Linked DNA regions of Saccharomyces cerevisiae S288C. Changing the gene in region 1 together with any one later gene gives a genetic interaction. Each region holds a gene or a part of one and is shown in the gene's direction. Other genes may lie near its edges. The genes, in order: BUD27, IWR1, EAF5 and SRO7.

Evidence for each region.
Region 2: mutations in BUD27 (region 1) and IWR1 together harm fitness more than expected from each alone (negative genetic interaction), as found in Saccharomyces cerevisiae (2 studies listed by BioGRID).
Region 3: mutations in BUD27 (region 1) and EAF5 together harm fitness more than expected from each alone (negative genetic interaction), as found in Saccharomyces cerevisiae (3 studies listed by BioGRID, with this or other methods).
Region 4: mutations in BUD27 (region 1) and SRO7 together harm fitness more than expected from each alone (negative genetic interaction), as found in Saccharomyces cerevisiae (3 studies listed by BioGRID).

Annotation. Positions count from the first base shown.
Region 1 is NC_001138.5:86,584-95,421, forward strand, and holds BUD27 (prefoldin-like protein), read left to right. Parts: upstream 1-4,402; coding exon 4,403-6,793; downstream 6,794-8,838. Other genes in the region: BST1 (Bst1p), read right to left, coding at 1-651; EPL1 (Epl1p), read right to left, coding at 1,264-3,762; FRS2 (phenylalanine--tRNA ligase subunit alpha), read right to left, coding at 6,916-8,427. UniProt on the Saccharomyces cerevisiae protein: Involved in gene expression controlled by TOR kinase and nutrient signaling. May also be involved in positioning the proximal bud pole signal.
Region 2 is NC_001136.10:252,872-260,203, reverse strand, and holds IWR1 (Iwr1p), read left to right. Parts: upstream 1-5,077; coding exon 5,078-5,159; intron 5,160-5,229; coding exon 5,230-6,209; downstream 6,210-7,332. Other genes in the region: TRM3 (tRNA (guanosine(18)-2'-O)-methyltransferase), read right to left, coding at 1-1,289; ATG20 (Atg20p), read left to right, coding at 1,649-3,571; YDL114W (short-chain dehydrogenase/reductase), read right to left, coding at 3,674-4,600; NUP84 (Nup84p), read right to left, coding at 6,458-7,332. UniProt on the Saccharomyces cerevisiae protein: Directs RNA polymerase II nuclear import. Binds RNA polymerase II in the active center cleft between the two largest subunits in the cytoplasm.
Region 3 is NC_001137.3:117,853-124,865, forward strand, and holds EAF5 (Eaf5p), read left to right. Parts: upstream 1-3,618; coding exon 3,619-4,458; downstream 4,459-7,013. Other genes in the region: PXP1 (putative indolepyruvate decarboxylase family protein), read right to left, coding at 765-2,447; SUMO ligase MMS21, read right to left, coding at 2,646-3,449; PMP2 (proteolipid ATPase), read right to left, coding at 4,946-5,077; GTT3 (Gtt3p), read left to right, coding at 5,805-6,818; nucleotide diphosphatase/phosphodiesterase NPP2, read right to left, coding at 6,885-7,013. UniProt on the Saccharomyces cerevisiae protein: Component of the NuA4 histone acetyltransferase complex which is involved in transcriptional activation of selected genes principally by acetylation of nucleosomal histone H4 and H2A. The NuA4 complex is also involved in DNA repair.
Region 4 is NC_001148.4:630,413-640,089, forward strand, and holds SRO7 (Rab GTPase-binding protein SRO7), read left to right. Parts: upstream 1-3,710; coding exon 3,711-6,812; downstream 6,813-9,677. Other genes in the region: CSR2 (Csr2p), read left to right, coding at 1-833; NTO1 (Nto1p), read left to right, coding at 1,103-3,349; HTS1 (histidine--tRNA ligase), read right to left, coding at 6,967-8,607; ARP7 (Arp7p), read left to right, coding at 9,113-9,677. UniProt on the Saccharomyces cerevisiae protein: Acts as an allosteric regulator of polarized exocytosis by promoting the targeted fusion of vesicles with the plasma membrane.

The DNA of each region.
Region 1 (8,838 bases):
TTCGTAAAGAGACAAGATGTACTTAATGGCATCATTTAGGTATTCAGCTTGATCAAGCATTGTTTCACCATGAAACGCAGTGAAATCTTCATTGAAATCTGCCGTAAAGAAGTCCAAATTTCGCACATTTTCGTTACGCAGAGTCGCCCTGGTATTGGAATCAAAATATATATTGGAGCAAGCGGAAGCAATCGATCTGCATTGCCTAAAAGAACCTGCATTTCCGGGTATAAAAAGTACAGGGATACCATCAAGTTGTAACTCATCACCATTTAAAGGTTCTCGGTCTACGCTTTGTTCTCGATACAAGTAAAGATGATACTTGTGTGCCAGTGGTGTATACCTCTCGTCAAATCCATCGATCCTTGCGTAAGATGGAAACATATAGATAGATTCACACTGAGGAGCATCTGCACCATTAAAAGGTTTCAGTAGCGATATCAATAAAAGCGAGCAAATGCTTAAAATGCCAAGAATAGAGAAAAGGCGATATGTGTAAGGTTTTTTTGCTATCTTATCATTGTTCATATATTTGGGGGAAGCTTTATCCTGGTCTTCACGCGTAGCGAGTACTCTCGAGTATTGACCAGATGAGTTAACTTTATTAATTATGGGCCGCGTTATAACACTAACTAATCTCCTGATACCCATAACGAAATGAAGATTTTTGTATGATGGTAAGCCTAAGATATAGGCCAATGCTTTAAAGTAGAGGGAGTATTTCGAGTGTGAATTTACTATCAGATGGAACTGCAAGGAATGTGTTGAGACTCATTTTTACTTTTTCTTGTTATGACTTGGTTGGTATATTTAGACCTTTTTCAAAATTCGCGCCATACAGGAAAAAAAAATGGATAATAAGAAGAAATGCATTTATTTGAGGGTACCTAGTGAGTTATGCAATTGTCTATATAAGAGTATGAATCTAACTTAAATACATCAAGCATTTGGGATGAAATCATGCGAAAAATCAAAAGGTCACAACCGTGTGAAATGGAAATTAAAAAAAACGTTAAAAATATGTAGTCTTGTGAAGGTGATAATATTACAGCCGGATGATACTTGCTATTTTTCTTTTGAAATTTATTGTAGTTATCTTTTTTTGTTTTTTGTTTTTTTTCATTATTATTGCGTTATCGGTGTTCATTTCGGTGATTTGAATCTTCAGTAATGTTGCCTCGACTTTCGTAGTAAACTTTGAATGTCAGGTTTGTTAAATGCCAATGCGTAGAAAGATGTTCGAGAGGTACAAAGTTGTGCTGCTCATGATGAATTTTTCTGGGTTATAGAAGAGTTCTGTTTCGCTTCTGAATTGATTAACGAATCATTTAATTTTTTTAGGGAGTTCGAAGAATTTGAATTATTGTTCTGTGATTTCTGCTTTTGTTGTTGTGCTTGCTGCTGTTGCTGCTGCTGCTGTTGTTGTTGCTGTTGTAAATGTTGTATATGCTTTTGTTTCAGTCTGGTGATATAGTCCCTACGATACTTTATGGTGGCTTCCCTTAATTGTTCGTAGGACTTCGTACCCAACATTGTTCCGAATCTAATCACCTGAGTATCATTTGAAATCTGGTTAAGTCTTGCCGGTTCATCTGAAAACTTGATCCCATATTCATTTTGTGGAGAATCATACTTCCACTTGTCGTAAAGTCTGACAAATTCGTCGTATTTGGAATCGTAAACATTAATCGAGTCAGTATCGTTACTACCTTCTCTTGAATATTGTTCTTTTTCGATTGAATCGAAATCTACAAAATCCATTAAAGAACATGCAGACTTGGTCGACGATGTTGTAAAATTTGGCATACGATCAACATACTTAATATTAGATCTACCAACTCTCTTCCTGAATTTTATTGGATACTCTCTCGAATGAATTTCCAAATTTTCTTGGAATGGGTCGTACAGTTCAGTTTTTTTGATTCTTTTGGTATCCAAGTTGTAATTATCTTTGTTTCTCGAACGGCCATTTGAATCATATATTCTGATGTCATCAGATATCCCCTTCAAGTATTCTGGTAAATGTGAAGAATAAAAAGATCTATCTATCTGAAACTTGGATGACGCGATAGATGCAAAGGGAACATTACTAGTCGAAAAATTTTTAGGCAACGACATGTCAAATACAGGATTAAAGGGATCGTCCGTTAAGTTGAAAAAGACATCTGCGTCTTCAATTTTCCGTTTCTCCATCTTTTCCTGAACGAACTTTCTTGCATTTTTTTCTTTGCTGTTCAATAGAGCATCCACGTCTTCCAATACAATGTCAGGAATTTTGGAAGATGGTAGTTTGACATAAACATGAGACGTAATTGGCTGTGATGTTGAAGAAGAGGATGCATTCGCGAGTTGCTTTCCGTTTTCAGTCTTAAGGGCATTTTGCTGTTGTTGTTGTTGTTGCTGTAACAGTTGCTGCTGTTGCTGCTTGGTGAGCCTAGAAGATTTGTCTTCAAGTTGGTTATTCCTTTTATTGTTCTTTGCCTTCGCTGCCGCTGCTGCAGCAGCTGCTCTCTTAAGTTCAGCTTTCCTTAGTTCAGCTTCCCTTTGTTCGACCGTAACAATCGTGGGGCGTTTTCTCTTGTGGTTAATCAAGTCATCGTCTTCTCCACTAATGTTCAAAGATCTTTTCAAATTCTTAATTTTTACCCTTTGATCGAATATTTTTAATTCATCATTAATCCAATTTAGGGAAACGTTCTCACGTTTAGCAACAAGCAGGGCCAAGTCCTTCGCGTTTTTCAATTCTTGATGCAACGCCCTTAAACGCTGACTGTTTAAGATATCTATACGTCTTGTTTTCCGCGGATGTCTCACTTCTCTTCTTCTGAAACAGACGTAGGGATCAATCTCTTCTTTTTCACCCGGCCTTTCAAATTTCAGCTGCGGAAAAATTTCGTACCCGTTAACTTCAATTTTTCTTTCTCTCCAATAATCATAAATTTTAGAGCCGAACTTCTCTATCAGCTGAATTAAAGGTCTCGTATTCATTTGAGATACGGGGTCGAATTGTGTGATAAAATGTGTTTTATGAGAATTTATTTCATGATTCAGCTGGTTTCTTAGATTGAAATCAGCCATATCTGATTTTATTAATGTGGGCTTCAATTCTTCAAAAGAAAGTATACTTTCCGGATCCATACTCAAGAATGGTTGACGCTCGTGAATAGCATGTTCAAAACTGGAACAAAGTATTTCAAATTCGTCTTCAGTTAAAATGTCTGATGAACCTTTGTTGACTTGTTCATTTAAAAAGGTCTCATCTCTTTCATCCATATTGTAGTTGGTACCACAGCAATCCTCCACAGTGGCAGAAAATTTGATGTAGCTGGTGGTCTCCTGGAAACTGCCCGTATAAAACTTATCATATTCATTCCAAGTCATAGAAGCATCCGGGGTCGGAATATAGTCTTTGTGCTTTGTATGACCAGAACCCATTTGTAATATTCGATGCAAATGGACCTCCTTTTCTTCATTTTTTTCTACACCAGTTTCGATCTCAACCACCTCTCTCTGTTGCAATTCATCTTTATCCAGGTGTTTCAGATCGTTAGGCAGATATATCTTAAGATGTTGCTTCACAGATATTTTTCGATGTCTAAATCGACTATTACTGCTACCAGCACTGGCTCCAGCACCTGAATCGCCTTTTGAGAATGAATCTAGACCGTCATCGTGCGCACTCCTAGATCCAGACCGCCTAGTGCTTCTACCAGATTTATGCGAACCGTCATTGATCTCTATAGCGTTTGAAGGTGTCGGCATCGTTATTATCGTTATTTGCTAATGTTATTACAATGTTTTTATAAGCACGTGACTATAATGTTACCCTATCGTGTGCAATTTTTATTTATGTTGACCTGAAGTCCGCAGTTGCCGTACAATGTGAGAATATGGACAAAAGGAAGGCGAGGGTGGCAAAAAGAGGAGTCAAAAATAGATAGCGTTTATTTTATTATAGCAGCTCAGAGGAACGCGATGTGGTGTAATAATATTGCGAGTGTCTAATGACCACCAGAATACGAGCACAGTTTTGGCTGATTTTTGCAAACTTTTTTGCTTTTGTGTAGTAACCTCTCACAGGTATTGCTTGTATGCTATACCATGTGATATGTAATAGTACAATTTTGTGGTCGGATCGTGCTTTTGCCACCCGCGGCCGACGGAGAAAATTTTTTTCCTCTATCCCTTTGTTTCTCGCTTACTCCTGCGGTATGGGGTGCTAACTATGGTGAGCGAGTATGGGAAGAAGTAGCGATATACGGGTAACCCTAATGTTTGGGTGTTTTGAAATTTATCCTTGGAGGATAGGCGATGAGCTGCTCTTAAAGGTTTTAACAGAGAGTGTTGTATGAATATTCTGTAGAATTTTATAGTAAACAGGTATCCTCAGACTGTAATAGCCATGGATTTGTTAGCGGCCAGCGTAGAAAGTACGTTGAAAAATCTGCAAGATAAGAGAAACTTTCTTTCGGAACAAAGAGAGCACTATATAGATATCAGAAGCCGACTGGTTAGATTTATCAATGACAATGATGATGGCGAAGAAGAAGGCGAAGGCCAAGGGATGGTGTTTGGTGATATCATAATTTCTACGAGTAAGATATATCTAAGTCTAGGCTATGAGTATTACGTTGAAAAGACCAAAGAGGAGGCCATCACGTTTGTTGATGATAAATTAAAACTAATGGAGGACGCCATTGAGCAATTTAACCTGAAGATCGAAGAGGCTAAAAAGACCTTAGACAACTTGAATCACATGGAGGACGGAAATGGAATTGAAGAAGACGAAGCGAACAACGACGAAGATTTTCTGCCCTCTATGGAGATTAGAGAAGAACTAGATGACGAGGGAAATGTCATAAGTAGTTCCGTTACCCCTACAACAAAGCAACCATCACAATCGAATTCCAAAAAAGAACAGACACCTGCAGTCGGTCCAAAGGAGAAAGGATTAGCAAAGGAGAAGAAATCAAAGTCATTCGAAGAAAACTTGAAAGGAAAGTTATTGAAAAGGAACGATGAAGTAAAGAAAAAAGTGCAGCCATCTAAAGTAGATACAGAAAACGTGTATACATTTGCCGACTTGGTCCAACAGATGGACCAACAAGATGAATTGGAGGACGGCTATATTGAAACTGATGAAATAAATTATGATTATGATGCGTTCGAAAACTCCAATTTCAAAGTCAATGATAACTATGAAGAGGATGACGAGGACGAAGATGAAGAAGAGTATCTAAATCATTCTATTATACCTGGCTTTGAAGCGCAGTCCTCATTTTTACAACAAATTCAACGCCTACGCGCACAAAAGCAATCCCAAGATCATGAGAGGGAAGAAGGTGACGTTAATAAATCATTAAAACCTATTTTGAAAAAGTCTTCTTTTGCTGAGAATTCAGACAAAAAGCAGAAAAAGAAACAAGTCGGGTTTGCATCTTCTCTAGAAATTCACGAAGTCGAAAACTTGAAAGAAGAGAACAAGAGGCAGATGCAATCCTTTGCGGTGCCCATGTATGAAACCCAGGAAAGCACAGGTATCGCTAATAAAATGACATCGGATGAGTTTGATGGTGATTTATTTGCTAAGATGTTGGGTGTCCAAGAGGCCGATGAAGTGCATGAAAAATATAAAGAGGAACTGATAAATCAAGAGAGACTTGAAGGGGAAGCAAGCAGGTCGAATAGAAGAACTAGGGTGTCCAGATTCCGGAAGGATAGAGCTTCTAAAAAAGAAAATACGTTATCAACTTTCAAACAGGAAACGACAAGGTCAGTGGAGAACGAGGTAGTGGAAAAAGAGCCTGTTGTGGGGGATATTATAGAAAAAGAACCTGTTGTGGGGGATGTTATAGAAAAAGAACCTGTTGTGGGGGATGTTATAGAAAAAGAGCCTGCTGTCACCGATATAGTGGAAAGGGAGCCTGCTGTCAACGATATAGTGGAAAGGAAGCCTGTTGTGGGGGATATTATAGAAAAAGAACCTACTATCAACGATATAGTGGAAAAAGAACCGGAAATTAACAGCAAGAGCGAGTTTGAGACTCCTTTTAAAAAGAAAAAGCTAAAATCACTGCAAAAACCAAGATCATCGAAATCAATGAAAAAAAAATTTGATCCCAAAATTCTCGAAAATATAAGTGATGACGATTATGATGATGATGACGATGGTAATAAGAAACTTTTGTCCAACAAAAGTAAAAATAACACTGATGAGCAAGATAAATTTCCTTCAAAAATCCAAGAGGTGTCTAGGTCGATGGCTAAGACGGGCGCCACAGTAGGGAGTGAGCCGGTTAGAATTACAAATGTCGATTATCACGCCCTAGGTGGAAACTTGGATGATATGGTCAAGGCATATTCATTGGGGTTATATGACGACGATTTAGAGGAAGATCCAGGAACCATAGTGGAAAAGCTCGAGGATTTCAAAGAATACAATAAGCAGGTGGAGTTGCTGCGTGACGAAATTCGAGACTTTCAACTAGAAAACAAGCCAGTGACGATGGAGGAGGAGGAAAATGATGGCAATGTTATGAATGATATCATTGAGCATGAATTTCCTGAAAGTTACACAAATGACGAGGACGAAGTAGCACTACATCCGGGCCGGCTACAGGAAGAGGTTGCTATAGAGTACAGACGGTTGAAAGAAGCTACCGCGTCGAAATGGCAATCATCATCACCCGCCGCACACACTGAAGGCGAATTGGAGCCTATTGATAAGTTCGGGAACCCGGTCAAGACAAGTCGTTTCCGCTCTCAACGGCTCCATATGGACAGTAAACCATAACCCATATGGAGACAGAAAGTAAATCAGAATCTATATTAACATATACGTATATATTTGTTTTGTGTACAATAACTACTACAAAATTGGGGACAGACGATATAAAACTAGAGGAACTGCTGAGCTTATTCGTACAAGTCTTCGTCCAATCTAGCAGCAGGATTGGTTTCGATAAAGTCCAAAGAGACTTTATGACCTAACAGTTCTCTGATGTTTTGAACCTTATATTTGATCATGGTAGGTCTTTCCAAGGATAACCCCCAACCAAGGACTCTTAGATCCTTTGGTAGACCCATGGACTCGAGCATTTCTGGTCTGAACATACCAGAGTTACCGATTTCGACCCATTTTTGCAAACCTTCGTGCCAAGAAAAGATTTCCATTGATGGCTCGGTGTAAGGATTGTAGGTAGGCTTGAATCTCAAACCGGTGACACCCATTCTTTCGAAAAACTCTTCCATGAACTTGATCAGGTCACCCAGAGTAATGTTGTAGTCGGCAAGAACACCTTCCACCTGGTGGAATTCGGCCAAATGGGTGGCGTCAACTGCTTCGTTACGGAAAACACGGTCGATAGAAAACAATCTGGTGGGCTTTGGATCTTTGGCCAAATCGTGCAGCATTCTGGCAGAGATGGCTGTGGAGTGAGTTCTCAAGACCAATTTTTGACATTCTTCTGGCTTCCAGTTGTAACGATAACCGATGGACCCGAATCTCCCCTGTTCGTGAACGGCTTTGATATTGTCCATGTATGTCTTGTCATCGGGCAAGTCAGCGGTTAGTGGGTCCTTGATGTAGAAAGTGTCTTGCAGGTCACGAGCAGGATGCTGTTGTGGGACGTAAAGGGCATCGAAGTTCCAGAAACCTGTCTCGACGTATTGGTTCGAGGGCATCTCTGTGAATCCCATGGAAAAGAAAATTTGTCTAAATTCCTCTCTGACTTTGTTTAAGGGGTGAAGAGCACCTGAAGATATTTGCACACCTTGAGAATTGAAATTGTAAGGCTTGAACTTCAAGTCCTTGTATGCATTGGTGGAGACCATGTCGGAGGTAAGATCGGTTTCCAATTTGGTGAGGTCGGTCGAGAACTCTGGCCCTTTGGTAACGTTGAAATCTGTGATTTTACCTTGAGCAATTAACTTTCTTTTCTTCAAGTCGTTCAAAATCTTGGCGTCAATGCTATCCAGATGCGAGTTGTTCTTGATTTGCGCTAGAATAGATTGCGTTTCATCAGTAAGCTCATTTAAATCGGTATTTTGCAATTTTGCGGAGAGTTCAAGCTCGTTTGAGGCGTTTTTGGCGATCCAGCCGTTCTTGAAAGCTCTAGCCTGACCGACCTTACCAACTTGAGGACCCAGTTTGGACATCACATCTTTGATTTGAAGTTGACCCAACTCTTGGATGAGCTTGACTAGTTTAATTTCGTACGAACCTTCATTCAAAATTTGAGCACCTTCTTTGGTCAAGTCATACGTAACCGTGTCGACCTTGGAAAACTCTAACTTGTTGTGGGCTTTCAAAGAGTTCAAAGCGGAAAGAACATCTTGAGAGCCGTGCTGAGGGAAAGTTGCCAGTGTGGACTTGATCTCATCCAATTCATCTAGTTTTTTTAGAATTTCTAATTGGAAGTCAGACATCTTTACGTTAGGGGGTGAGAGAGGGAGGGGGGTGCCTTTAATGTATATATACGTAAGATATATATATATATGTATATATATGGAAATGTATTCACAACTTTACATGTGCATTAACCACAAGTACTGCGTACGTTCAAGATTACAGCAATGCGTTTTATTAATTTTTCAAGCATTTTTCACGTAGAGAGGAACAAAGTTTACTGAAAAGAAAAGAGGTAGAGAAAAACAGAAAAATTTTTTTTTTCTGTTTTTCCTGCCTCTTTTCTTTGTTTGATTCAATATGGTCGACCGGGTAAACCCCTGATAAAACGATACCAAAGCCGGGTCACCTAACTTATGGCCAAATGCGACCGGTCCCGCTTTCCGATTTTAGCCGGCGAAGACGTACTTGGCGCCATAATCAAAACCTAG
Region 2 (7,332 bases), on another chromosome or scaffold:
TGGGGACAACTGACACCTTTTACATCAAAATAATGAGCGGACATTGCAGCTGGAAGAAGAGTTTTTGTCAATAATGGCAAGTTTGAAGAGAATGCTGACATATTTGTAATCGAGAACATTAACGTCATCATGTATTTTCTGACACTCTCCATTGATGATTTCAATCCCGTAGAAAGCAAGATAAGGCCCCAACTATGGTGTAAATGCTCGTTATCAAAAATTTTTATTATATCTTGTTTGGCCGCTTGTATTTGATTCAATGATGTGTCCAGAGCAATCATTTCATATAAGGTGGTGAATTTCTTCCAGCTACCCAGCATCTCGATATTTGCTAGATCATTGCATTTATAAAATGTTGTTTGCAATGTTATACCATGAGATGACAGTTTTTGAATTGTTAATTTAAGAATTGAGAGTGCCAATTTTCTGTGTTCGTGCACATCATTATCCAGCTCTGTTTGAATGTGCCTCCAATAAGCATCGGTCTTTATATAAGTAATAAGTTCAGGAGACAACTCTGCTGCTAAAAGGAATCTTAGGAGAAAAGATAAACTGTTCTTTTGCTTCCAAGCTTGTTGGGAGCCTTCAGCGTACAATTGTTTGATAAATGTCCAAATGAGCTTATCAAAGTTACTATCGGTATTGCAGCATTTCGATAAATATTTGATATGCCATCTCATTAACTTGGAGCAGGAATCAGCAATCTCTTCCGAATTACAGCCTAACAATGGAACAATGATAAAATCTAGGCATTTGGACGATATACCATTCTTACATTCGTCAAATAAATATACAACTTCTAAGTAGTGAAGCAGGCTAAGGATATCTAAGTGCAGATTTTCATGCTTGATATTAGCGTTTTGTTCCTCAGCAAAAGAATCGAAAAATGGTTGTACAATCTTTTTTCCAAAGTTGTCATTGAAGAGATGTTTATAGTTTTCGCTAATGATGTCATTTAACCGGTAGCTCATCCACACCTGAAATTTATGCCATACACTGGGTAAACAACATAGTAATTGTGCAGAAGTTCTTAGCGCCTTGTTCATTTCAGCCCTCGAAGAGCGAAACATTTCCCTGGCTTCACCGTCTATACTAGCATACGCAATGACCTGCTCAGTAATTTTTTCAAAGATTGGTGTTTCAATGTTGCTGTCCGTCGTTATATCCAGTGGCGAAGTTTCAATCAACTCCAGCACCTCTTCTAAGCTGTCATTCTGAATCAAGTCTGATATAAGCTTTAGTTGCTCTTCGCGTGGTAAATATTTGCAGATGAGAGCACCTCCAACCATTTTGCTGGTAAAAAAAAGGTATAGAGTTTGTAACGTTCGTTAAACAATTCTTTTCACCGGATTTTAATAAGGCTTGGCTTATTTGCTTACTAGCAATTATATAGTTACAATAGTGCTGTTTCAATCTTGCTCATCGCCATGGTGAAACTTTTCGAAAAACACTTGAATTTTCATTCACGTGATCTACATTCCCTTACCCGACAACTCACCCATTGTGCCCCCTTTAAGATATGGCTATTGAGTAAGCCAATATTTATCGATTTACAGCAAGTCATCTCCAAAATGAAGAGATGACTAGCTCGAATACTGGTGGTGCAATTGAACATACCATCTAGAAAAGTTGTCTTCTACAGCACACAATGTCAGACTTAAATGATGTCCAAGAAAATGCTAAATTGAATTCGGAAACTCGGAATACAGGAAAGGCTGAACCACCTCATGGGACAACTGAGTATGTGGCAGAGGCAGAAATTTCTAAGAATGGAGTTGGATCGCCAAAAAAGAGCCCAAAAAAGGGTAAGGTTGGAAAGGGGGACAATAACAAAGTAGAAACTGAGTTAGTACACACAGCCCTGTTAGAAAAAGACAACCCATTCATGGAGGAGGGGCCAACAGGATTCACAAAATCAGCTTTATTAGAAATACCCGGTATGAGAAGCCATAACCTAAAGAACCCGAATGAAGATTACGAGGATGACTCTGAGGGATTATTGCCTTTAAACCAAGAATCGAATGCAGAAACATGTAGAACAAGTCTTAGTGGAAGTATTAACTCCATGAACGGAGAGACCTCTGCGTCAGAAGAACCTTCTGTAAGTAATAGAAAGAAGTCCGCTAGGATACACATACTTGAAGCGAAAAGAGTTTCCGAAGGTCAAGGAAGAGCCTACATCGCCTATGTTATTCAGTTTGAAAATTCTACCGTTCAGAGACGTTACAGCGATTTCGAGAGTTTGAGAAGTATCTTGATAAGATTGTTTCCTATGACGTTGATACCGCCGATTCCAGAAAAGCAGTCAATAAAGAATTATGGTAAGTCAATAACTGGTTCGAGTTCAAAGTATTTGCTGCCCTCAGAAGGTTCTGGTTCAGTAGATCTATCATTGTCTGTGATACATGCGTCGGTCAATAATAGTGATGAAAAGTTAATACGGCATAGGATAAGAATGCTCACTGAGTTCTTGAACAAACTTTTGACGAACGAAGAAATCACAAAAACATCTATAATTACCGATTTTTTGGATCCTAATAACCATAATTGGCATGAATTTGTTAACAGTTCGTCCACTTTTTCATCTTTACCGAAGAGCATCCTCCAGTGTAATCCACTAGATCCCACTAACACCACTAGAATTCATGCCATGTTACCAATACCGGGCTCCTCGTCACAGTTATTGTTGAATAAGGAGTCCAACGACAAAAAAATGGATAAGGAAAGAAGTAAGTCGTTTACTAATATTGAACAGGATTACAAGCAATATGAGAACTTGTTAGATAACGGGATTTATAAGTATAATAGACGAACCACGAAGACTTATCACGATTTGAAATCGGATTACAATGAAATCGGTGAGGTATTTGCACAGTTTGCCCATGAACAGGCTCAAGTTGGGGAATTGGCCGAACAGCTTTCTTACTTAAGCAATGCCTTTTCGGGGTCCTCGATTTCTTTAGAAAAATTAGTTGGAAGACTATACTACAATATAAATGAGCCTTTAAATGAATCTGTTCATATGGCAACTTCTGCAAGAGAATTGATCAAATACAGAAAATTGAAATACCTGCAAAATGAAATGATTAAAAAGTCTCTGAATTCCAAAAGAGCACAGTTGGAGAAGCTGGAAGCGCAAAACAATGAATATAAGGATGTTGACAAAATAATTGACAACGAAATGTCTAAAAGTCATACTATTAATCTGGAACGCCCTAATAATAATACAGGTAGCGGTGGGAAATCATATGGTGGCAAACTATTCAATGGATTTAACAAATTGGCATCAATGGTAAAAGATTCTGTGAAGTATCAAGAAACAGATCCGCATACCGCAAGTATCAATTTGAAGAAAGAAATTGAACAACTGTCTGAATCATTGGAAGTTACTGAGAATGATTTGGAGGTCATTTCAAAAGTCATCAAAAATGACCAGCTACCTAAATTTTCTAAAGAAAGGGAAGTAGATTTATCAGAAATTTTAAAGCATTATTCCAGATATATGAGAAATTATGCCCGTCAAAATTTAGAAATTTGGAAAGAAGTCAAAAGACATCAAGATTTTGCATAGTATTATGAGCATTTTTTTTTAGCGTTATAGCATACTTGATATATATATATATAAACAACGTGAAGATCAAATAACGTCAAATGTATTAAATAGACTAAAATATTATGCACTTCTCTTCGGATTTATTGCTCGCGGGCTGGTTGACGTTACATGGTCCATTCCACTGAAATGTTTTAAGAGATGCCTATATGGCCAACTCAAAGTTTTGAAAAAGGGAACTAGGTTCACATAATATGGGGCATTTAGTGTTTGCAGATGATTATGCTCCATCGCAGAGATTATCGCTAGTGCCAGTTGGGAAGGTATGATGTCAGGAGCCAATAACTTAGATGGTGTAGGGACATCAATAAACATATTAGTTTTGATTTTTCCCGGGCACACCAGTAGTGTTTTTATTCCAGTTTTATTACATTCCGTGGACAAACTTCTGAAATGCCTGCTCATACACTTGTGAAAACCAATCATTGCTCCTTTTGATGCACCATACGATGTCAGCCTTGCAGGAGTCAGTTCTCCGAGGACTGAAGCAATGTTAATTATAAAGCCTTCCCTATTGTCTATCATATCTTCTGCAAATGTACTGATGATTCGGTAAGCACCTATTAAGTTTATGTCGATCAATTGTTCTACCTCCTTGTTTGTCATATGTTCTAACTTTTTGATGTGAGCAACACCAGCATTATTTATAATTATATTAATGTTGCCATGATCTCTTTCAATAGCTTTTTTCAAATTTTTAATTTCATCTAGACTTGTTATGTCGCATTGATAGTAGAAAATGTTATTATATTCTACCTGAGCAAAAGTAGGAAATGATTGAATATCTGCCACAATAACTTTATTAATTCTTCTGGAAAGTTCCTTTGCAAGTTCAAATCCGAGTCCACTAGAACCACCGGTTATTAGTGCAGTTGCATTTTTAGAAAGGATGGAAGGGTTGTAGCTGGGCAGACTTAGGATGACTGATGGAAAATCCTTGAGGTGTTTTGTAGTTCCACTCGCTCTATTTATTTTATTCTTGCGTACCATAATTAATAATATTTCTTACCCATAAAACTATGTTAAATATGTCACTGAATCTCTATTGAGGTGTCCTTTTGATGATGCGGTTTCAGATATGAGAAATGTTCATTCAAGAAGTGTCACAAATTCTGTTCCTCTGCTGACGCCCGCTACATATTGACGTTCAAAAATATAGAAGAAAAAGGCAGTAAAGCGTTAACATAAGAAAACTAAAGAGCAAGTCTGATTTGGCACTACCACGCTTCCAACAGAAGTAATTGTTGCTTCAAATAAGTTCGCAGCATGTGGATTCAAGTCCACAGATGCGATATTTAGGAGCCCAATCAGATAATATTGATTCCGGGTTATCTCTTGTTTGTGTCGGCACAGGGGATTTAAATTGTGTAATGCTCAAGACAAGTTATTGATGAGAACAAGAGATGGTATATAAAACTGCTCTCTGAGGTATAGCTTTTGTTGAGGTAGGCATACAAGATTTCGGGAATGAGCACTATTAGTACCACAACGGCACCTGAGTTTATCAGAGTAAAGAGAAGAAGGGATGAGGATTCTGTGCAGGCATTATGTATGTGTTGTTATTCTACCGATATAACAAAAATGCGTTTGACTAACTAAGTTCATCTGGGACAATTCAGTAATTGATGAGGGGAAAAGAGTGAAGAAGCAGAAGTTCATATTTAAATTATCAAAGACTGTGAGCTCTGAAAGCTATCAATCCGAGCAAGAGTCTTCTACGCCACTCTTAAAACTGGCTCATGAAGATCATCGACATTTTGTATTGGAACAAAGAAAAAAAAGTCGTAGAGACTCAGATGATGAAAAATCACAACAGCGGCTTGCAGCAGAAGGAAGTACTGTAGATGACGATGGGTTACCGCCAGAGATCAATCAAATGGTGAATGACTATTTAAAGTTGAATAAAGGTGTAGAAAAGACAGAAAGAAAAAAACCAAGTAGGAAATATTTTACTGGGGATTCTGCAAAAATTGCATCACTACCCAGTTTAGATTACGTTTTTGACATCTACCATTTGGAGAAAATTCATGACGATGAGGTTGCTAGATATAACAACGAGAAAAATATAGGGTTTGTGAAAATTATTGAGCATATAGATTTGGCTCTTGATGAAGAAAGTGATCCCAATGAAGCCCGTTCAGACGATGAGGATTCTAATGACGAAAACTATTACCAAAATGATTATCCGGAGGATGAAGATGATGATAGATCTATTCTATTTGGTAGCGAAGGAGAGGATATAGCTGCATTGGGTGAAGAGATTGTTATAGGGGTTAATAAGAGCAGGTTTTCCTCTTGGAATGACGATAAAATTCAGGGATCTAATGGGTACCACGATGTGGAGGAAGAGTACGGGGATCTTTTTAACAGGCTTGGAGGAAAAAGTGATGTCTTGAAATCCATAAATTCCTCGAATTTCATTGACTTGGATGGCCAAGAAGGTGAAATAGAGATAAGTGATAACGAAGATGATTCTGATGAAGGAGATGATATTGAATACCCTAGAAATGAATTTTTTCCGACGGATGTTGATGACCCATTGGCGCATCATAGGGACAGAATTTTTCATCAGCTACAGAAAAAAATTAATAGAAGCTAAATTTGCCGTCAGAAACTGTTCAATGTATGTAAGTAACTGCATCTGTAATTTTATCTTTAGATAGTAGAAAATTCATGTTTAACCGCTTTTTCACTTCATGAACTTTTTTTTCTCCGGTGTGGAAACACAAAGATTCAAAGCAAAACTATAAAAAATCACGTCAATTACTTCTGAAATAGATAGAAGAAATGCATAAAATTATTGCTGTTTACTTAAAATATAAACTTATTCTGCAATACATTAATTGATCAGTTCGAAAGGGTTGCTGTGCGAGCAACGAGATCCAGATACTCTTTTAACTTTCCACTAGATTGGAATAATAAATAAATCTTGTCGTTCTCATTAGCGACCAATGAGGTAAATGCCAGGGCTTCCGAAATAAATTTTGGGATCTTTAACAACTTTGCGGCTTCCACTAACTTTTTATGCAATTCCATCAGTAGAAATGGAGTATATAGGGCTCTAATCTCATACAGGATTTCATAATCTGCCGAATCCGCGAAATTAGAGGAAGTTAAATCTACTAAAAATGTCTTGATCAATTCAAATGTATCCTTTGAAAAACCTTGCAATTTCTCTATTAAAGTAGGAATGTTCGATTCAGAGCTTAACAAGCTAACGGATTTTTGCCATTCTTCATATTCTCTTATGCCCTTTATCAAATGCTCATATTGAGTTATTTCTTCCAAAAACTGATCTTCATTTTCATCCTTTGATATGTTATCGGCTATTTTCTCTAATTCATAATTCTTGCATATTTCTCCAATATTATTTCTCTCCATAAATTGTTCGAGAGCCTTTACGCGGCCATTTAACAAAAATCTCCTCGATAAGGCAATGATAGAGTGGACAGCGTCCACATAAAGCTTCCCTTCAATAAGCCATTCCACGCCATATATTAAGTGCATATCAATGTTGTTTACATCGAAAGATATGGAAATTTCGTTAGATGGTGAATATTCTTGTTCGGTTTCATCGAAAACACGCTGTGTGGTTCTTCTCAAAATATTTGAGGCAGGTAATCTTAGAAAGTTTATTGTCTCAATTTGCTTTTTCCTTACTTGGGGGTCCTCTAAAGAAGACAATATGAAAGAGCATGCCTCTAAGCAGTCTGACTCATTCA
Region 3 (7,013 bases), on another chromosome or scaffold:
GGTTCCCCAGTATATTTCTTCTCTCAGGAGCAGGGGCCAATGCCAAAAGCGACATTAACCCGGAGGACAAGGCTCCACTGTGTTCCACCGAATTTCCCACCTGATAATATCTGATAACCCGCCCATAGGTGGGGATCCTTCTGTAAACAGGTTTCTTAATCGTAGGAATTACCACTGTTCCACTGCCAATCGCAGCTCCCAGAGTTTCGTTCCCAGCCGCGAGCACCACAGCGTACCATGTGCGCCACGAGGCCTCAAACGTAAAACAATCGAAACGAAAAGAAACAGACTATAGGGGAGTATAGAGACAGCCGGCCAATAAGAAGAGGAAAAAGAAATACTAGCGTTTATCAATGTGGGTCGTTAACATATCCTGTTGACAATGATTACAGGTTAAAAGGTAGCGTAAGTGAATATTAACTATGGATATTCTTATACTTAGATAAGAGACATATAAAACACACGATGATTGATTGATTTTTATGACCAATATATGTAATTCGTAATTCAGATAGTTTTTATACTTTTAATGTGTGCCGAACCATATTACTAGTATATGTAACTACCATGTTATGTTCAATTGGCAGATCTTTAACTCGGCTTTAGTTATCCAAGTTACTTGCAATATTTCCTTCTGCGAGAGTACATTTGCCCTTAAACGTATACGAGGTATTCATTAATGTGTGTTGTAAGTATTTAGATTGACATCTATAAGAGAGATGAACATATATATATATATATATATATATATACATGCATATTTACTATAAACGCGGTTTATTCTGCCAGGCAAAGGCAATTTGCTTTTGTTCGCCAGGCTCAATGATAACGTTGATGACACTTGTTTCTCTTTTAGTCCGAGAAAGCTGCACGGCTTGTTGGAAGCATCTGCTCAGTTCGCTTATTGTGTTGACAAAAAAATCATTGGCACCCAGTCCTTTGCCTACGAGATCGTAACGGCAGTTCTTGCTTAGTGCCGTTGGAGGTAAATCACCCTCTATATCCTTTTCTCCATGGTAAATACCGCTATTGTTCATCACAACGATGACCAATGCCAGCTGACACCTTACTGCCGTTTCAATTTCCATGGCAGAGAATCCAAATGCGGAATCACCCTGAATCAGCACCACATCGAGTTCCGGATGAGATGCCTTGCATGCAAGAGCATATCCGAGCCCAATCCCCATAGTCGCGTTGGTCCCTGCGTCTAAACGGCGCCTTGGAGCGTCTGTAGGGAATGAAATACGCGCAATATCCATAGTATTTGCTCCCTCCGTCACAAGTATTGTCCTGTAATCATCGATAAGAGGCCTCAATGTTCCATAAACCTGGTTGTAATTCAATTGTGCCCCTCTAGTCTTCTCTTTCCTCAATAGACGAGTTTGATTCAGTTGAATTTTCTCTCGTATTTCTTGCTTAACACCACTATACTTCCAGCAGGAATCTTGGCGAGTCAATTCCTCAACTAAAGCGGTTACGCTCAAGCCTATATCTCCCCATATGGAAAGGTCAGCACCAGGTGAGACATTGTTATCCCCCAAGGTTTCGGGATTGGAATCGAACTGGATGAATATGGATTCTGAGTTCCATTTGGGTGAAGTACCAAAATGCAATATCCAGTTTAATCTTGCCCCGAGAACAAGAACAATATCCGCTATTTTCAATGCTTGAGATCTTGCAGATGAAACGTTCAGTGGAGAAGAGTCTGGGACAATTCCCTTAGCCATTGGGGTGGGTAAAAATGGTAGATTGAACGTATTTACTAGTCTGCGGATTTCGTGTGAGTTTTTTACCGCACCCTTTCCAATAACAATCAGAATATTTTTATTTTTATGTTGCAAAATAAGCTGTACGACTTTTTTGATCTTCGACGGATCAGGGCCACATATGTTTGGAGTTAATATCATCGGTAATTCATTTCCTGTACGGTCGTTTCCTTCTAAGGGTTTTTCATACTCAATAAAATCTGCAGGGACGTCTATGTAAGAAACCCCTGCAGTGCCTTGTATACAGTAATTCAAAGCCTTCTGAGTAATCATGTCAATATTGTCAGGGGTTAACTTTCCGGTAAACTTCAAAAATGGGGACAAAAGACTAACTTGATCCAACTCTTGAAACCCGCCTTTATGTATATCACTTTGAGAAGAACTCCCTGCAATTACTAGAAGAGGCCACCTATTACTCATTGAGTTGTATATACCAGCCAGTGCGTGGATTAAACCGGGGCCCCCGACAATAAGTAACACGCCGGGCTTATCACTAATATAACCATAAGCAGAGGCTGCATATGAGGCAGCCTGTTCGTTCCTGCATGGAATGAATTTGATACCGTTGGCAACCATCGTATCCGCTAGTTGGACAATAGGGATGCCCACAATTCCAAAGACTGTGTCGATGCCATATTTTTGTAAAAGTTGAGCGAAGTGTTGGGTAGCGGTCGTGGTCATATTGATGGATGGTTGTGACGGTTTGAATGTAGAGAGTATATTCTTCTTATCACATAAAAGTAACCAATGCCTTTTTTTTCCTTTATATATAATGTGGTTATATACCAACCTTTTGTAAATTTCCAACTTTTTTCTTTAGTTAGCTTTGCTTGAACTTCGGGCCGAAGGGCTCGGATAAGAGAAACAATAATTTTGTTTTCATAAAACATCGATGGCTTGACTACTTCTTTTATCCTGTTCCTGAGATTCTTTCATCTTGGCGATCTTACACCTTAGTTCCATAATAGGGTCTCTTACAAAATCCCTCATTGAAACGACTTGAGAACACGCTGCTTGCGGGCAATCTCTTGTCGTGTATCCTTGTAAATAGTTTTGAATGCCGTCTCTATCGAAGACGTGATTACATTTTCTTGATATCAATGGTGCTTCGTAAGGTTTGCAGGTGATAGGACAAGTCAATTCAATTTTACCACCTTCTATTTGTAGATCGTCTTCGTCTGCGGGGTTTTGCAGATCCGGTATTACACAAGTTGGATCATTCCATATGTACGGCAACACTTTTAGTATCTTGAGTGTATCTGTGTTATTAACCATGGTTGCAGGCTCTGGTGTGGGCATATTTAGATATAATTCAGATAATTTGGGAGCGGTGAGTTCTCCGGTACGATATTTATCCCAGGTAGAAAGGTCGATTTGCGGACAGGCATCTGAGGATTGTTTGAAATTTTTTTTTAAATCTTTAATATGTTCGTCAAATGAGTTGGATTCCGATTCGTATGTCGAGAGGAGTTTGTAGGTGCTAGTAATATCTGCGACCTGCTCTTCAATGCCGATGGTGGAAGGAGATGTAGAATCCACTAATTGATTTATGGTCTCATCAATTTGTTTGTAGCATTGTTGATATATATTTGATAAGTCTCGGGCATGTAAATTATGGAAGTACTTACCTGATTTTGGGTGTAGAGGAACTGACTTGGGTATAGGATTATCGTTCAAGGCCATTTTTAAAGTTATTCTTTTTTTATATAGTCTTGCCTTGGTTTCTTTAACTGACACGATTATTTTAGCAAGTTTTTTTCTACACAGGAAAAGAGGAAGAAAATAACCAGAGAAGCACTGGTAAAAAGATACTTCTGCGTGCCGGAGTAACCAGAATCAAAGGAACGCATAGATGGATAAAGAGGTAAGTGAATTGGTAGTGTTGCAGCTAATACACACTTTAATTTCCAACAAGAATGAAGAACTGGTTAGGAACGGGGGAGGAATCAACATGATTGGGAATAATCTTCGAATATCGCTAGTCAAGTTGACTAACGAAATACAAAACAATTTGCTAATCAACGAGCTGACAAATTTAAGAAGGCAAAGCAACGTGGCAAATGGAAACAGGAAACTGGGCATCAACGATATCCTGACCATAGTTAAGAATTTATTCCCAGAGTACAGAACAACACTAAACGATGGACAACTTAGTCTACACGGTTTGGAAATGCATGATATCGAGAAGCTCCTTGACGAAAAGTACGATCGATTCAAGAAAACGCAGGTCGAACAAATAAGGATGATGGAGGATGAGATATTGAAGAACGGTATAAAGACCGGTGCATCGCAACTGCAACCACATGCAAATGCTGGCAAAAGTGGATCTGCTGGTACCAGTGCTACTATAACTACGACTACGCCACACATGGCGCATTCAATGGACCCAAAAAGAGAAAAACTATTGAAATTATACAGAGATACCGTTCTGAATAAATTGGAAAGTAAAACTGGGAATTTTCAGAAGCTATTCAAGAGTCCCGATGGTAGCATTATCAAGAATGAGATAAATTACGAAGACATAAAGAACGAAACGCCCGGCAGCGTTCATGAACTGCAGCTGATTCTTCAAAAGAGCATAACGGACGGTGTAATGCGAAAGGTCATTGGTACGGACGACTGGAAATTGGCTAGACAAGTGCAGTTTGAATTGGATGATACGGTGCAGTTCATGAGAAGAGCACTAGAGTAAGGAGATAGTAGGCGACACTTCGAAAATCTAAAGTCTTGTAACATTACTATTATATACTATTTTATTAAAAAAATACACACACAATTCTTTAACAGAACAATATATAACAAATGAAGCGACATGTTTCTCAAAAAAAAACATAGTAGGTAGGTAAAAATGGGAAAGAACGGGACAAACAAAACGAAGAGCAGGGTGTATTTGCCCACACACGGCAAACAACATCCATTCACGCCCGCATGCCCAAAACTTTTTTGCGATAAAACGCCCACGCAAATCACATCGTTCCAACAGAGGAATCGAACAGCACAGATACAAAGTAGGAATATAGCACACACACAGGAAAAATTAATTAATTATTAGAAATTAAAAGGGTTGGGGAGAAAAGAGGTCTAATTTATTCATTAATATTCAGTAATTGAAAAAAAAAAAAAAAAGAGGATAACTAAGAGAAAACAACATCAAGCTCGTTTGGCTTGCTAGTGATCGCTTAGAATCTTTGTAAACCTCTTTGTCTAGCTTGCCATTTTCTGTAGATAATGGTAGAAATGATGGCGATACAAGCCAAACCGACTAGAATAAAAACTAAGATAACACCACCTGGTAACGTGCTCATCAACATCTTTGTATAATTGTTATTGTACTATTTATTGTTTTGTATGTATACGATGGAGAAAAAGAGAAAGGAAGAAGGAAGGACGAAAGAGAAAAAACTGGAAGGGAAGAAGAATTGATTTTATATTAACCAAGAGGAAGGAAAGGAAATTGAGTTGTGATTACGGAATTTTAGTTTTTTTCACTGTTTATTTAAACCAAAAGGTGTGGAAGAGAAAGAGAGAAAAAAGTTCTGTAATTCGTTAAGGAAATTAAGTATCCGCGCCGGAAAAATAGCGAGAGGTTTTTTTTGATGCAAAAGCTAGGGAGGGCTGCGGACGGATTTCGAAAACAGCTCAACAGCGTGGTGACGAGTTGCGTCAGGGTGTTGGCCAGTGCTACCGCGGGCGGCGCTGCACAGGGAGTAAGCAGAGCGGGCTAGAGCGCGGTTTTGGAGAGGGCCCGGGCTGCTGTGGTCGTAGGATTGCGGTAATTTAGTGGCTCGCCCTCGTTTGTCGTGCTTTTTCCGAGTTCCGAAACTCTTTCCCGAGCTGTTAATGTGCTAAAAGTGGTAAATCGTATATGATGATATACGTATATGATGATAATTTCCTGCGCGCTACTTGCGTGCATTCGTCACTCATAACAAAAAGAACTACACAATACGTAAACAACGTGCGAAAATATCTATATACAAGGGGAGAAAACAAAAGTGAAAGTGCATTACAGCCCATCACAGATCATTATAATACAATATGCCGACCAAGTCAACTTTTAGTCGCTGGAAGAAGGCGGACCTAATTGACCTGGCCAACAAGCTGGAAATTGACGGCTTCCCCAATTATGCCAAGAAGAGTGATATGATCGATTACCTCGAATCGCACTTGAATCATCTTGAGAAACCTGTGGATTTTAAAGACGACTACCCGGAACTAAGGTCCTTTTATGAGTCGATGACAGTGGACCAGTCAAAGGATGAACGGAACGAATACGGATCCGGATCTGGAAACGGGTCTGGGTCTGGATCCTGTGACACCGCCACAAATGATTCCGATCTGGAGAAAGCGTACATCAAGGAGGATGATGATGAGAAACCGCAATCAGGCGATGAAACAAGCGCGACAAAGCCGCTTTCCAGCAGGAATGCAAATTCAAACGCCAAAACGAACTTCAATTTGTTGGATTTTAGCACAGATAACGACTCGTCCACCTCTGCGTTTACTAAGTTCAAGTTTAACTTTCAGGAATACCTCTCCGATATTAGATACCAAACGCAGAAATTGAATGAAAATGTTCAGGACTATCTTTCCACTATTTCCGCCGTCGATACGATTTTTTCCTTGTTGGAATTCTCTTTTCTGGTGAGAAACATATTAGCCGCCGGGCAGCCAACTTCTTCTTCTTCGCTCGCATCGTCGCTGGAAGCCGCCGTTGCCGCCCATAATAAATATCAATACACGCTCGATTTCTGTTTACCAATACTCACGTGGCTGCTCTTCTTTAGGGGTATTCCAACGTTAGTGTCATACTACATCAACTTCATCCGCTACGACCTGAACATCGAGTTGGACCCGATGACTTTCAATCTCACGAAATTCTTGATTTCTTTGGCAATCTTCAAAACTTGTAATAATAAAAACATAGATTTCCATTCTTTTCGATGTGTTAACCAACTATGGACACAACTCTGTACAGTGAACCGTTCCCTTGGTATGGTACCTCTAGTATTCTCCATGGTTAGTTGTCTCCTCACTCTATACGTATTATAGTATATTTTCTTACATACGTATACACACGCGTACGTAAGCCGCGAAGTGTGTATTTACTACTCTGTATTATTGTAATAAACTCTTCTCCTTCTTTGTCTTTTCTTCTCCCAAAAGCGCACTTGCCTTGATCAGCATATTGTATACTTCGATGTTTTCAAATGGAGGTACGACTTCATTGTTGAACATCGGACCCAT
Region 4 (9,677 bases), on another chromosome or scaffold:
AGGTCAATGATACAAATGGAAACTCGAATACATCTTTGCAAACTAGCTCGAATGTTCCCATTCAGCACTACACACGGTTGAATAAACCAAGACGCGGTTTATATTTGGACAGTATGCATTTTAAGAATATCCAATGTTCTCATAAATTAGAAATCGTCTTGAGGGTTAGCAAAACTGATAGTGGTAGCTCAAAAATCATAAGGCATTATGAAGTAATTGTTGATACACCAATTTATTTGATTTCTGACCTTTGTAACACTTCAAATATAGACTTACCGACTTATGACATGGCCACCACTGAATCTTCTAAAGTCCTGCCACCAACTTTTGAAGAGGCAACATCAGTTTCAGCATCACCAAGATCTTCTGTATCTTATTATCCCGATGACATTTCCATGCAACAGTTGAATTTGTCTAGGTCGACTTCCCTCGCAAATGGTTACCTGTCAACCTTACATCCAAAAACAACCGCTGTTTCGGACTCGTCTAACGGTGCCCCAATCCGGGACCAGCAAGAGCAACAAGCACGCCCCTTGAGGACTGAAGATTATGCGCTACAAATGGGGAATGAAAATAACGCCTATAGCAATATGGACGGTTTGCTTTCGCAGGATATCTTTGAACAGGAGACCGCGGCCACGCTATTTAAAAGAGACATTGTCACAATGAACTTTAACAATAATATATTCACACCACGGTATAGTCCGCGCACTTTTACCAATACCGACTACAATTATAATGATAATGATAATAATGATAATGATACAGAGGGGCCTGGTCCAATAATTCATCCGGGTCCTGAACCACCAAGATATGACGAGATTTCATCATAAATATTAATATCTTCACTTTTTTTATAAACCTCACACACACATATATATATACATTTGTACAAATATGTACCTGTCCGAACTAACTTTTTTTTTCGTGTAATATACGTAGAATATATGTCTTTCGGCTCATCGCAAATTGTAGCACCGAAAAAAATGGAAGACGATAATAATAAACAAGTTTGAAAGTTTGAAAGCCGTGCAGTTTTTCAACGTATTAGGTTTTTTTATTCAAATAACTTTGACAAGGGCGTTGTACGACTTAGCACCTAATGAATAGGGGATCATTAGATGATGGGCCTAAACTACGTGAAGAAAAGCACTTCCAAGATTTTTATCCTGATCTTAATGCCGATACTTTACTGCCGTTCATCGTTCCCTTAGTGGAAACAAAGGATAACAGCACCGATACTGACTCAGATGATATTTCAAATCGGAATAACAGAGAGATCGGGAGTGTCAAAAGCGTACAAACTAAAGAATTGATTTTCAAGGGGAGAGTCACCACTGAACCACTAGTACTGAAGAAGAACGAAGTGGAATTTCAAAAATGTAAAATAACTACGAATGAGTTAAAAGGTAAGAAAAATCCATACTGCGTTAGATTTAATGAGAGCTTTATATCCAGGTACTATCATATAAACAAAGTAAGAAATAGGAAGAGTTATAAACAACAACAAAAAGAATTCGATGGTGTGGAGGCACCCTACTTCACCAAATTCTCTAGTAAAGAAGCCCCGAATATTACTATTTCGACGAGTACAAAGAGTGCAATTCAGAAATTCGCTAGTATTTCACCCAATCTTGTTAATTTCAAGCCTCAGTATGACATGGATGAACAGGATGAATTATATTTGCACTACCTTAATAAGAGGTATTTTAAAGATCAAATGTCTCACGAAATATTTGAAATTTTAATGACTACACTAGAAACTGAATGGTTCCATATTGAAAAACATATACCCTCAACGAATAGTCTGATTGCTAGGCATAATATTCTAAGGGACTGTAAGAATTATGAGCTATATGGTTCTGATGATGGAACAGGTTTATCGATGGACCAGGCGTGTGCAGTTTGTTTAGGCACAGACAGTGACAATCTGAATACAATTGTCTTTTGTGATGGATGCGATATTGCTGTGCATCAAGAATGTTACGGTATAATTTTTATCCCGGAAGGAAAATGGTTATGTAGACGATGTATGATCTCAAAAAATAACTTTGCCACTTGTCTAATGTGTCCAAGTCATACAGGTGCATTCAAACAAACAGACACCGGTTCTTGGGTACATAACATTTGTGCTCTATGGCTTCCAGAGCTATACTTTTCAAACTTACATTATATGGAACCTATAGAAGGCGTTCAAAATGTTAGCGTATCACGATGGAAACTTAACTGCTACATCTGTAAAAAGAAGATGGGTGCTTGCATTCAGTGCTTTCAAAGAAACTGTTTTACAGCATATCATGTCACGTGTGCCCGTCGAGCTGGTCTCTACATGAGTAAAGGGAAATGCACTATTCAAGAATTGGCCTCTAATCAATTCTCCCAAAAGTATTCAGTCGAAAGTTTCTGCCACAAGCATGCACCTAGAGGATGGCAAACGAGTATAGAAGGTATTAATAAAGCTAGAAAATACTTCTCTCTACTCTCTACATTACAAACCGAAACTCCTCAGCATAATGAAGCTAATGATAGGACAAATTCAAAATTCAACAAAACAATTTGGAAAACACCTAATCAAACGCCGGTAGCACCACATGTTTTTGCTGAAATATTGCAAAAGGTCGTTGATTTTTTTGGCTTAGCTAACCCACCAGCAGGCGCATTTGATATTTGCAAATATTGGTCAATGAAAAGGGAGCTTACAGGAGGTACCCCATTAACTGCCTGTTTTGAAAATAATTCATTGGGGTCCTTAACCGAGGAACAAGTGCAAACAAGAATAGATTTTGCCAATGATCAGCTCGAAGACTTGTACCGGCTCAAAGAGCTGACTACTTTGGTGAAAAAGAGAACACAAGCTTCAAACAGCTTGTCCAGATCCCGAAAGAAGGTTTTTGATATAGTTAAATCGCCCCAAAAATATCTTTTAAAAATCAATGTACTGGATATCTTTATAAAATCTGAACAATTCAAGGCTCTTGAAAGATTGGTTACTGAACCTAAATTATTGGTTATTTTAGAAAAGTGTAAACATTGTGATTTTGATACTGTCCAAATTTTTAAGGAGGAAATTATGCATTTTTTTGAGGTTTTGGAAACTCTACCCGGTGCATCAAGAATACTCCAAACTGTCTCATCAAAGGCAAAAGAGCAAGTAACAAATTTAATTGGGCTCATAGAACATGTAGATATTAAGAAGTTGCTATCCAGAGATTTTATAATAAATGATGACAAGATAGAAGAAAGACCATGGAGTGGCCCGGTGATTATGGAAGAAGAAGGTTTAAGCGATGCAGAAGAACTGAGTGCAGGGGAACACCGTATGCTGAAGCTAATCCTTAACAGCGGATAAAATAAAGGTTTTAATATTGCATTATGTATAATGAGTATGTATTTTTATGCTATTCTTGTAAAAGTTTGGCTTATTATTTACTTTCATGGAACACTTAGTAAAAATAACTTAGAAAGGTCGTCTTTTCTTTATTCTTTAGCATTTCAATACCGAACTAAATATCCGTTTTTATAGTTTAGTTGGTTTTGTTTAATTTCTAGAATCCTGTTCGGCGCTTTTGTTAAAAGTAAAAAATGAAAATTCAAACGAAATGAACCTAATCACGTTAGAATTTAAATCTTGGAATATGTTAAATATAAAACAAGAAGAGCAAGCAATACTATTTCTGACTAATTCTCTATACACATAAGAGCAAAACAAAATGTTCGGTAGCAAACGTCTGAAAAATGTTAAGGAAGCATTTAAGTCCCTAAAAGGCCAAAATTCAGAGACACCCATTGAGAACTCAAAGGCGTCTTTTAAATCCAAAAATTCAAAGACATCTACTATTTCCAAAGATGCGAAATCTTCCTCTTCTTTGAAGATTCCTATAAGTTCAAATAACAAAAATAAAATTTTTTCACTAGCAGAAACCAACAAATATGGGATGAGCAGTAAACCGATCGCAGCCGCTTTCGATTTCACCCAAAATTTATTGGCAATTGCTACAGTCACAGGGGAAGTCCATATTTATGGCCAGCAACAAGTGGAAGTGGTTATAAAACTGGAGGATAGATCTGCTATAAAAGAAATGAGATTTGTGAAAGGTATCTATTTGGTGGTCATTAACGCAAAAGATACTGTGTATGTTTTATCGTTATATTCTCAAAAAGTACTTACAACAGTGTTTGTTCCGGGGAAAATAACATCAATTGACACAGATGCATCCTTAGACTGGATGCTAATCGGCCTTCAAAATGGTTCAATGATAGTTTACGACATAGATAGGGATCAACTTTCCTCCTTCAAATTAGACAACCTACAAAAAAGCTCATTTTTTCCGGCTGCAAGACTATCACCTATAGTATCCATTCAGTGGAACCCTAGAGATATTGGAACTGTTTTAATATCATATGAGTATGTAACTCTAACATACTCATTGGTTGAGAACGAAATCAAACAATCCTTCATATACGAATTACCACCTTTTGCTCCAGGAGGCGACTTCTCAGAAAAAACCAATGAAAAGAGAACTCCCAAAGTTATTCAGTCCTTATATCACCCTAATTCACTGCACATTATCACTATTCATGAAGACAATTCCTTGGTTTTCTGGGATGCTAATTCAGGCCATATGATCATGGCAAGGACAGTGTTTGAGACAGAAATCAATGTTCCACAACCTGATTACATACGCGATTCTAGTACTAATGCTGCCAAAATTTCGAAAGTGTATTGGATGTGTGAAAACAATCCAGAATATACTTCACTACTCATCTCTCATAAGTCAATCAGCAGAGGAGATAATCAAAGTCTCACTATGATCGACCTCGGTTACACACCTAGATATTCAATAACCTCTTATGAAGGTATGAAGAACTACTATGCAAATCCGAAACAAATGAAGATATTTCCCTTACCAACCAATGTGCCAATAGTGAATATACTACCAATTCCAAGACAGTCCCCGTATTTTGCAGGATGTCATAATCCGGGGTTAATTTTGTTAATCCTAGGTAACGGTGAGATAGAAACAATGCTATATCCTTCTGGAATATTTACAGATAAAGCCTCTTTATTCCCTCAAAATCTTTCCTGGCTGAGACCATTAGCCACGACTTCAATGGCCGCTTCTGTACCAAACAAATTATGGCTTGGTGCGCTTTCTGCAGCTCAAAACAAGGATTATTTGTTGAAGGGAGGGGTTAGAACAAAAAGGCAAAAACTTCCCGCTGAGTACGGTACAGCATTCATTACCGGCCATTCTAATGGCTCAGTTAGGATATACGATGCTTCCCATGGGGATATACAAGATAATGCTAGCTTTGAAGTGAATCTATCAAGAACGTTGAACAAGGCCAAAGAACTAGCAGTTGATAAGATATCTTTTGCCGCAGAGACTCTCGAGTTGGCGGTGTCAATTGAAACAGGAGACGTTGTTTTATTCAAATATGAAGTAAACCAGTTTTACAGTGTTGAGAACAGACCAGAAAGCGGTGACCTGGAGATGAATTTCAGGCGGTTTTCTTTGAATAATACGAATGGTGTTCTCGTCGATGTGAGAGACAGGGCACCTACCGGTGTTAGGCAGGGATTTATGCCATCAACTGCCGTGCATGCCAACAAAGGGAAAACATCTGCAATCAACAACAGTAATATTGGATTTGTTGGAATCGCATATGCTGCCGGAAGCCTTATGTTGATCGATAGAAGAGGTCCTGCAATCATTTACATGGAAAACATTAGAGAAATCTCGGGAGCTCAAAGCGCATGTGTTACCTGCATCGAATTCGTAATTATGGAGTATGGAGACGATGGTTACTCTAGTATATTGATGGTCTGTGGTACTGATATGGGCGAGGTAATCACATACAAAATTCTTCCTGCATCAGGTGGAAAGTTCGATGTGCAACTAATGGATATTACTAATGTTACCAGTAAGGGTCCGATACACAAAATTGATGCATTTTCAAAGGAAACAAAATCTAGCTGCTTGGCAACTATTCCAAAAATGCAGAATTTAAGTAAAGGCCTTTGCATTCCTGGTATTGTATTAATAACTGGATTCGATGATATCAGATTAATAACACTGGGCAAATCTAAAAGTACACATAAAGGTTTCAAATACCCGCTTGCCGCGACAGGTTTATCTTACATCTCAACCGTTGAGAAAAATAATGATAGGAAGAACCTAACCGTAATAATTACATTAGAAATCAATGGCCATCTAAGAGTTTTTACTATTCCAGATTTCAAAGAACAAATGTCTGAACATATTCCATTTCCAATTGCCGCAAAATACATTACAGAATCATCTGTTTTAAGAAATGGTGATATAGCGATTCGAGTGAGTGAATTTCAGGCGTCACTATTTTCTACTGTCAAGGAACAGGATACGCTAGCGCCAGTTTCTGACACACTGTACATCAATGGAATCAGGATTCCCTATAGGCCACAAGTAAATTCATTACAGTGGGCAAGAGGCACTGTATATTGTACTCCCGCTCAATTAAATGAATTATTGGGTGGCGTGAATAGACCTGCATCCAAATACAAAGAGAGCATCATTGCTGAGGGAAGTTTCTCGGAGCGTTCTTCAGACGATAATAATGCGAACCATCCGGAACACCAGTATACCAAGCCCACCCGTAAGGGCAGGAACAGTAGTTACGGGGTACTAAGAAATGTTTCTCGAGCTGTAGAAACTAGATGGGACGCCGTTGAAGATAGATTCAACGACTATGCTACCGCCATGGGAGAAACAATGAACGAGGCTGTTGAGCAGACTGGAAAAGATGTAATGAAAGGTGCCCTTGGTTTTTAAATACATACACTAATTCATACAGGGTAATGAGCAACTTCCTTCTATACTTATTTTTTTTTAGTTCTATATGCTTTATAAATTAATTTGAATCGATTTATTTTTCATTATACATGTCTAGTTTTACGAAGGTTTGTAAATACATGAGCTATCAAGTTTATAATCCTTTAATTAAACGAGTGACCTCATTTAGACCATCTTCATGAATTTGTGATAACTTTTCTTGAACAATAGGAACAATGTCAGCCGCACTAACCAATTCACCATCATCATCGGCAAATTCTTGGCCCAATCTTTTGACACGTAATTTACCTTCTAAGTACTCCTCCTTACCGAGGATTACGGCAATGTGACAACCCGCTTTTTCAGCAGCATCGAATTGCTTCCTAGGATTAGCCTTGGCCTTATAGACATATTCAGCTTCAATGCCAGCATCCCATAATTGCTTAGTAACCTTCATTCTTTCGGGTAAATAACCAGTCCAGTCCTTACCACCACCAAAAGCCATAACGAACACCTGTGTAGCCGTTGGCTTTATAGTTGTAGAGGAATTAATTCTTTGTTTGATCAAAGAAAATATTCTTTCAACACCAAATGAAATACCAACACATGGAATTTGAGTAGATTTTTTGCCGGAAGCTTCAGAGAACATGTTGACCAAATTATCATATCGACCACCGGCTGCAATAGAGCCGACACCAACGAATTCTGACGCGTCTTCTGCAGATTTGGCCTTCTTCTTCAATTCTGAAGCATTCTCTGGTGGAGCAGATGCAGAAGTAACAACTTCATAGATCAAACCTGTATAGTAATCCAAACCTCTTGCAAGAGAAAGATCAAAAGAGATGAATGAGTCAATGTCAAATGCTTCGGTATACTTCATCAAAGTAGCAATATCATCCAAACCTTGTTTAGCCTTTTCGTTTGAAGTAATGTTGGCATCTGCGGATAGAACAGCGTGAATTTCCTTCAAAGAACCATTTAATTTAACATACTCACCGATTTTATCAGCAGTTTCTTCGGATTGACCTTTTTCTTCGGTCATTTCCTTCTTGACTGCTTCCCATGGAGATTTGTCCAACTTATCGACAGCAGAAGAGATTTTCCTCACATCCTCATCTTTAACACCAGCGATTTGGAAGATCCCATCAAGAATCTTCCTGTGATTCAATTTGATTTTGAAATCTTTGATTCCCAAACTGGTCAAACCTTCCACTAAAATGGACAAACATTCGGAATCAGGAACCATAGATTCGAATGTGCCTGCAACGTCAAAATCACACTGGTAAAATTCTCTCATACGACCCTTAGTCATGGCTGGTTGGTCTCTTCTGTAGACTTTTGCAATGTGATACCTCTTGATACTCTGAATATTGTTCATGGCAACGTACCTGGCAAAAGGAACGGTCAAATCGTAACGTAAAGAACATAATTCACCACCCTGGTCCTCCAAGTTGTAGATCAGTTTGGAGTCCTCACCATACTTGCCTGCTAAAATTTCTCTTAACTCGAAAACAGGTGTGTCGATAGTGACACCACCATGCTTCTTGAATAGGCCAGATAAAGTGCTAAAAATGGCTTCTCTGATAACCATATCACTATCAGCCCAATCCTTCGTACCCTTAGGTGTTTTCAAAGACACTTGTAGTTTACCTTTCTTTGGAGCCTTTGAAGCTTTTAGAGCATTAGCAGCATTAGCAGTAGGAGCAGAAGTAGCAGCAGCGGTAGCGGATGACATCCTGATTATCGAAGACGACTTTATAGATGTGACTACTTTATTTAGTGATCTACTAAGCATTAAGCAAGAGACGAGCAGAAAGGAACTATTCTAAAGTAACACATTGGGCCGTAAGACTCATTTAAAAGCCCGGTCGATCAAGGCCATAAGTCATCTTCGAGCTGGTTAGAATTGAAGAAAAAAAAAAACTTGATAAAAAATTTCAAACAAAAAAATTATCGCCTTACACGGAAACGAATAGATTTACTTATTACACAAGAGAGAACAGTGATTATAAGGAAAGAAAGAGATATATACAATATTTCCATCAAAGACGTACGCATCACGGCGTTCATATAAGTATATCATCGGCAAGTCTTCACACCTTTCAATACTTAGACTTGTTCACCTTGAGTGATCCTGAAAAAAAAAAATGATGGCCGCGTTTCGAAGAAAATAAAGAAAAAATAAAGCAAACCTCAAACAAGAAAACAAAGCGGAAAATGGTAAACAAGAGAGATAGAACAGAGTAGTAGGCTATTAGCAAAAGCGCGAGAATTACTACATTATAAAGGATCTGTCAAGAATGACATTGAATAGGAAGTGCGTAGTGATACATAACGGATCGCACAGAACGGTGGCTGGATTTAGTAACGTTGAATTGCCACAATGCATTATACCCTCTAGCTATATTAAAAGAACAGATGAGGGGGGGGAAGCTGAGTTTATATTCGGAACCTACAATATGATAGACGCTGCGGCAGAAAAACGCAATGGTGACGAGGTGTATACATTGGTAGATAGCCAAGGGTTACCGTACAATTGGGACGCATTGGAGATGCAGTGGAGATATCTGTACGACACCCAATTGAAAGTTTCACCCGAGGAACTGCCACTGGTGATTACGATGCCTGCCACCAATGGTAAACCGGACATGGCCATATTAGAGCGCTACTATGAGCTGGCGTTCGACAAATTAAATGTACCAGTATTCCAGATTGTAATCGAGCCATTGGCAATTGCCCTATCCATGGGCAAGAGTTCTGCATTCGTGATTGATATCGGCGCGTCAGGCTGTAACGTTACTCCCATCATTGACGGTATTGTGGTGAAGAATGCTGTAGTGAGATCTAAATTTGGCGGTGATTTCT